Sus scrofa: one gene and its partner. The protein of the gene in region 2 interacts with the protein of the main gene of each other region in a pairwise test. Links are inferred from orthologs where the notes say so. Each region holds a gene or a part of one and is shown on either strand. Other genes may lie near its edges.

Evidence for each region.
Region 1: the proteins of PLSCR1 (region 2) and SLC35A2 interact in a two-hybrid assay, tested with the Homo sapiens proteins (2 studies listed by BioGRID and IntAct). The two-hybrid records come from large-scale screens. The link is inferred for Sus scrofa from reciprocal best matches to the Homo sapiens genes PLSCR1 and SLC35A2.

The regions. Positions count from the first base shown.
Region 1 is NC_010461.5:42,982,009-42,985,656, forward strand, and holds part of SLC35A2 (UDP-galactose translocator), read right to left. Parts: intron 2,503-3,648; coding exon 1,766-2,502; coding exon of another isoform or gene 1,747-1,765; exon of another isoform or gene 573-1,746; intron 121-572; coding exon 93-120; coding exon of another isoform or gene 1-92. UniProt on the Homo sapiens protein: Transports uridine diphosphate galactose (UDP-galactose) from the cytosol into the Golgi apparatus, functioning as an antiporter that exchanges UDP-galactose for UMP.
Region 2 is NC_010455.5:86,846,341-86,849,988, forward strand, and holds part of PLSCR1 (phospholipid scramblase 1), read right to left. Parts: intron 2,995-3,648; coding exon 2,774-2,994; intron 1,459-2,773; coding exon 1,297-1,458; intron 1-1,296. UniProt on the Homo sapiens protein: Catalyzes calcium-induced ATP-independent rapid bidirectional and non-specific movement of phospholipids (lipid scrambling or lipid flip-flop) between the inner and outer leaflet of the plasma membrane resulting in collapse of the phospholipid asymmetry which leads to phosphatidylserine externalization on the cell surface.

The sequences.
Region 1 (3,648 bases), on a different chromosome or scaffold from region 2:
CCCCCCACTAATACTGATTAGAGAGTCTGGCCCTGACTGGGCCAGGGCAAGAAGGGGGATCGAGGCCAGGCCAGCGTCTTCATTCCCAGCGGCTAGGAACCCTTCACCTTGGTGAGCAACCTGTGGTGGGAGTGGGGAGGAAAGAAAAACACAAGAAAGCTGGGGTGGGGGAAGTTCCCATCGTGGCTCAGCGGTTAAAGAACCCGACTAGCATCCATGAGGATGGGGGTTCGATCCCTGGCTCGCTCAGTGGGTGAAGGATCCGGCGTTGCCGTGAGCTGTGGTGTGGGTCGCAGACGCGGCTCGGATCCCGCGTGGCTGTGGCTGTAGTGTAGACTGGCGGCTACAGCTCCGATTGGACCCCTAGCCTGGGAACGACCATATGCCATGGGTGTGGCTCTAGAAATGGCAAAAAAGAAAGAAAGAAAAAAAGAAAGACGGAAGCTGGGGTGGGCTGGCAGGCAGGCGTCCTGAGCAAGCGAGGGGGACTGGTGAGGCTGGTAGTCCCGGGGTTAGTAACAGAGCCCACGCGGAGACAGCGGGTTCTCTGGGTCAGAAAGCTACACGTGGACTAAATAAATACAACATCTTTATTTGGCATTGGGTATCCTGACATTTGTTCATTACAGTTCCTTAGAAAACAAACCAAAAAAAAAAAAAATCAGAACAAATTAATCAAAAATAAAGATCCAACGGCCCTATGTACATATAGCAGAGACAGCCCAGGCATCTCCCAAGCGCAAGTGTGCACTAGGTGCACGCGCGTGCGTGCGCGCGCGCGCACACACACACACACACGCACGCACACACGCACACATACCACATGTACCCTGGGAGACGGTTAAGGGGTTAATAAGCTTTGGGGAGTGCAGGGGCTGCTTCCACATTTCAGCAATTTAAAGACACCCCTCCCCATGAAGGAAGGGGGCCTCTTACAGCCACTGGGGGATCACAAGTGTGGTTGGCAGCTGTATCTCTCCTCTCGAGATGTCTCAGGACACAACCCTGCATCCAGCAGCTGACAGTGTCAGAGATTCCATGAGATTAGGTCACTTCAAGGACCGCCCTTCCCCACTTTCCCCCACACCCTGAATCAATTCATCTGATTACACCACGAGTCCCCAAACCACGAAAAAAAGGACCCCTACGGCACCCTCCCCTTGAATGAATGGGCTGATGCAAAAACCTCAGCTCTCCCCCTGCTTCCTCTCTCCCTGGGTGCTCATAAGAGGCCCATTTTCAAGTCCCCACATCAGGGAAGCTGCCCCAAGGCCACGAAAAACTGAGCTGCTAACACGATCCAGTGTGGTCATCCGGGAGGAGGGAGGCCTCAGGCTATGGGAAACGACCCCTCAGGCAGGCATCAGTCATGACTACAGAGCTGTAGCATTTTTGTCCAAATGTGACCCTACAAAGGTAGAGGGGTCGCTGGCAGGGACTCTCCCAGGCAAGAGAGACAGGACACCTCTGGCTGAGGGGGACAGACAAAAAAGGCCTTGAAGGACAATCCCCCCAACCCAGTTCCCAAAGGGGTTAGACTGGGACCGAGGAGGCAGCTCTAAAAACCCCTGGTTTTTGCCCTGCCCTCGTCCCACACCCTTCCGGAAGTCTCAATGACCTGGAAGAAAAGACCCTTCCAACCCCAGAGGAGCCAGGCCCCACCCCCGTGGCAACCTGGGTCCTGCAGATGCCCAGCCCCCTCCACCCAGCACCCCTCCCTGTCGACCCCCCCACCGCCGCCAGCCCTCACTTCACCAGCACTGACTTTGGCAGAAAGGGCTCCGTGCTGAGGTCTCCGCGGTGGGAAGACAGCTGCGGTGGCGGCGGCTGCCCTGGAGGCTGCTGGTGGGTGCAGGGCCCGGAGGCAGAGGCGGAGGTGGAAGCTATGGCTTTGGCTGCACCGCGGGGAAGGCTGTAGAGGTAGACGGCACCGATGACCAGCCCAGCGCCAAGGGCAAACAGCGGGTCCACGTGGAAGCCGAAGAGGCGGATGGAGGCAACGGTGGACAGCACAATGGACAAGGAGGTGGCAAAGCCCTTGAGGATGTTGTCGGCGTACTTGACGACGACAGCCACTAGGAGGCCGCCGAAGGCCTGGTTGAGCACCACGCCCCAGACGGCAGGCGTGTACCCGAAAAAGAAGCCACGGCGGGCCACAGCAGTGCCCTCGGCCCACCAGAGCCCCACCAGGCCCAGCGCCGTGCCGAAGAGGCCCAGCTGCAGGTTGCGCAGCCACACGGAGCCTGAGCTGCCTTTGAGGATCTTCTCAAAGTAGACACCTGCGAAGCCCGAGGAGAGACAGGAGGCCACGACAGCGGCTAGGCCCGCCCCAGGGTTCTGATCCAGCGGCCGAGGGCCCCCACCGCCGGCTTGCTGTGCCTGCACGATGGCGACGCCGGTGAAGAGGAGCAGCAGGGAGGCCCACTGCAGCCGGGACAGGCTGCGGTTCAGCATCAGCACGGAGAACAGTGCCGTGGTCAGGATCTTCAGCTGGTACGTCACCTGCGAGAGGCATGTGGAAGGCACTGAGGGCTGCTCCCGGCTCCCCCCACCCCCTGACATGTGCATGCGGGGGATGGTGCCCACTGTGGGCCCCCGGGCACGATAGAGGGCGGGGGAGGGCATGGGGAGATGCCAATAAAACCCGCAAAAATATCCAGTCGCTGCCCACAGACTGGGATGCGGCTACTAAATAGCTCTGACGGCTTCTGAGAAAGGACACAGGAGGATGGCTGTGCAAGGATGTCCCGGGCCAGGCTCGAGTCCACGTGGCCCAACCCATGTCCTAGCTGCAGGATGAGGGACAAGCACTTGCCCTGTCTGAGCCCGGCCATCGTCGGCATCTGTAACTATGACTGCCGTACATGAAACACCTCCCACTACAGGGAATGCATGAATGGTAAAGACCTTGATGTGAGCCGTATTGGTCTTGGTAAATACATGTTGATACAAACGAATCCACCACAACATGATGTCAGGAAACGTTTCCATCAAGCTCGCTATGGGCCGGGTGTGGATCTAAGCACTTCACATGCATTCTTTTTTTCTTTTTTTTTTGCTTTTTAGGGCCACACCTGCGGCATATGGAGGTTCCCAGGCTAGGGGTTGAATTGGAGCTATAGCCGCCAGCCTACACCACAGCCACAGCCACGCGGGATCGGAGCCGCATCTGTGACCCACACCACAGCGCACAGCAACGCCAGATCCTCAACCCACTGAGCAAGGCCAGGGATCGAACCCACAACCTCATGGTTCCCAGTTGGATTCGTTAACCACGGAGCTATGACGGGAACGCCCTCACATGCATTCTTTTATTTAATGCTCACGTGTAGACATGGGCAGTGTTGGTCACATCTAAGTGAAAGATGAGACAAGGCACAGGGAGGTTAAGTCACTTGCCCAGTATCACACAGCTGGAAAGGAGCAGAGCTGGGATGTGAACCCAAACAGCTCAGCCCCAGAGTCCAGGCTCTTTAACCAACTCACAAGGCTGCCCGTAAACAGCCTAGAGCTTATCTCCCAAGGGCTCTTCCCAGGTATTAGTTCTTTTAATCATCCCAGCATCCCAGTGAGTAGCTACCAGTACCACTTCCATCCCCAGTTCTCACAGATGAGGAAACTGAGCGGGAACGGAAGGTCCCAGGACAT
Region 2 (3,648 bases):
TATATAGTTCTCCAGTCCACTCCACACACATGCACACACATGCACACACACACACACACACACACACACACACACACACACACAGTATATGCATCCTTTATAAGCGTCTCTATATACATCATACATGTTTTCTTAGAATTTCCTGTCTCTCTCGTTAGACTTTGAGGTCAATGAGAGTAGTAATTCATCCTTATATAACAGAGGAATTAAAAATCATTATGAGAGAAGCCAGGCAGATAATATAAAAGAATGAAGCTGAATAATGGGAGACCTTGGGAAGCCAGAGGACAGTGGCAGAATTCCCATATCTTATTTATCATAAGGGGACAGCTCTGTTCAGTTTTAGATTTCTATCCCTTCTGTAGAAATGGTCCAGTTTAACAGATTTTATGCTTATATGAAAGAATCATGATAGCAAGATAGATTTTATAATCTCTCAACTTTTAAGCATTTGCAACTAAATAATACTTTGAGCCATAAAGCTGGGCCCCACTTGATGAAAAACTGCTGTGATGAAATTCCTCCAGGTAGTAAATATACACACATATTGTGATTTCTAATGAATGAACTTAATATGAGGATAAAAGCATGATCATGAAGAAGCATAATTAGATGCAAACTATTGCCTTTGGAATAGATTAGCAATGAGATCCTACTGTGCAGCACAGGGAACTATGTCTAGTCACTTACGATGGAGCATGATAATGGGAAAAAAATAATGTATACATGTATGTGTAACTGGGTCACCATGCTGTACAGTAGAAAAAAAAATTATATTGGGGAAATGACTATTAAAAATAAAAAAAAGCATAATTAGGTAGTACCTCTTACATTATCTTTGTTAAAATTCTTTCTGCATAATTGAGTTTTCGTAGGAACTCAAAGATATTAGAGCTTCTGAAGAGGGCCTAGAGTACTGGCAGTCAGTGTTTCAGACTAAGAAAGGACTGTAAGCTTTGGCATTCAGACTTAAATGACAAGGTTAATGTTCTGTTTAAAATGGGTAATATACAATGCCTCCATACAGAAACCACCATGTTTAAATGTTAGGTGTTTTGTTTATAGTTACTTGACTACAAAGTTCTGCTTTTCTTTTTTCCATTTAGCATAAGCAACAGTGACACCTAATCAGAGCCATAACCATCTCCCCGACAAAAAATAAATATATGAGCACACTGAGTCCCTTTTGAGGAATCAGGGCATACATATTTACTTAATACATTTGTAACATCCTCTAAGTTTATATTATTCTTATGTTAAGAAAGCAAAACCTATAAACATTATCACATCTCTTACCTCAAAATCAATATCTGCACAACAGCTGCAGACAACACATGGACCAGTAATTTTTAGTACGTCTTCTCGCCTCTCATTTTGAACTGTAAACCTTGGCAAGCATGGGTGCCAGGTTTGAGTAACATAACCTACTGGTATGCCAGGAGGAGCTTGGATTTCTATCTACAAAAGCAAAAGAATATATAAATTGTAATCATAAAAATGTCTAGTAAGAACTCTCATTTACTGAACCCCTTCTAATGTTAGGCACTGTTTTAGTTCGCACCATGTCTTTACCAGGTTGGTACTATCATCTCTATTTATAGAGGAAGTAACTGATGAACAGTGAGGCTAACTAACTTGCATCAGATTCCCCAGATGCAAAGTAGAAGATGAGCTATAAACTCACAATCCCCACTCTGAGCACTGCTCTACTGGTCTCTTAGATTTTAAATTTTTTATACTTAGGAAAAATGTATGGGTGACCCTGAGAGCATCTCAGCATGTTCATCTGTAAATGAGGATTTCCTGTTTATTAAAACCAATAGTATAAAGTATGCTAATGTGCTCTACAAATTGTGGAAAATATTCTATCAAATCAGTTTTCCCTCAACTATTCCTATAAATATTATCACATCTAAATTAAATAACATGAAAACCAAAATTCAGTTTAAATAAGTTCTTTTATCTTTTCAAAATAAGTGCAGTATTAGACATCAGATCTTTATGTGCCTGTGTCTCTGTCTGCCCTGCTCTCACAGCTCCCTGTGCGGATGACCGAGTGACCCAGGCAGTGCTGGGCTCAGGTCAGTGGGGATCTAGGCAAAGGCCAACTTCCTATAAACACTCTGTGCACTGGCATCTCCCTGAGATCTGTGTTCTCTATCAGAGGGCTGTCAAGTACTATGAAAGAGACACCTGGTCTCTCTAGAGCTGAAGGGGTTCACAACCAGCACATCCATATTGCAGGGACTCAAATACAGTACTTTTTTCCAGTGGAGAACTGAAAACAACAGCAGTTGAAATTTCTCAGAGGAAGCCTCTGCTAGGTTTGGTCCTTGTAGGTTGGCGAAAATTGAGATGAACGTATCTGTGCTTTTCCCCATTCTTTTGTTCACTTGCCTCTGGGATGGCGTTCTAGGATATCCTACAGGGTGTCCTCCTTGGGCTTTGGCCAAGCCCCTCATGGTCATTTCAGGTGGGGTACTTCACTAAGGTGCCCTGCCTTCTCGGCTCTCCCTGAAGATCAAGAAGTCTGGCCTCTGAGACCTCTGATCTCCCAGGATGTGCACTGTTCAGGGACATGGGGCTAATTGTTCACTCTTTCTCACCTGCCTTCCTTCCTGTACAACTTACTCTCAAGCAAAAACCAATAGCTTATGGACTTATTTTCCTTTAAATCTCATTTGATTCCATAAATTCAATGATGAGGTGAAAATTCCTGCAGGATTACTTTGCAAAATATTTGCAAAAATTACCCTGGCACTTGCTTACCAACCTCTTGCAGGCAGCAGGGGAAACAACAGCTGGTACATCTTAGTGGTCTCTCCAGAGTTATGACTTCTCGGCCCATATTATCAAGAATTCTCATGGTGAAAGGCCTAGAAGGCCCACAGCAGTTTCTAGTACAGCAATCAGTGTCCTCTGCTGCAAAGTAAATCCTCTGTCCAAGGCTGTTCTTGATTTCATATTTGTTATTAGTTTCAAAGCCTGTTAAGACTAAAAACATATAAGAGGGAATCATTATGACTATTGTGTTAAAAAATAATAAATGTATCCTGGAGTTCCCATCATGGTGTAGTGGTTAACAAATCCGACTAGGAACTATGAGGTTGCGGGTTCGATCCCTGGCCTTGCTCAGTGGGCTAAGGATCCGGCGTTGCCATGAGCTGTGGTGTAGGTTGCAGATGTGGCTCAGATCCCAAGTTGCTGTGGCTGTGGCGTAGGCCAGTGGCTACAGCTCTGATTAGACTCCTAGCCTGAGAATCTCCATATACCTCAGGAGTGGCCCTAGAAAAGGCAAAAAGACAAAAAAAAACAAAAAACAAAAAAGAAAAAATAAAAGAGAAATGTATCCTAAGATACTACAATATCTAGCTATACCATTTTTATTTATTTATTTATTTATTTATTGTCTTTTTTGCCATTTCTTGGGCCGCTCCCGCGGCATATGGAGGTTCCCAGGCTAGGGGTCTAATCGGAGCTGTAGCTGCCAGCCTACGCCAGAGCCACAGCAACGCAGGATCCGAGCCGTGTCTGCGACCTACACCACAGCTCAGGGCAACGCCGGAACATTAACCCACTGAGCAAGGGCAGGGATCGAACCCGCAACCTCATGGTTCCTAGTCGTATTTGTTAACCACTGCACCACGA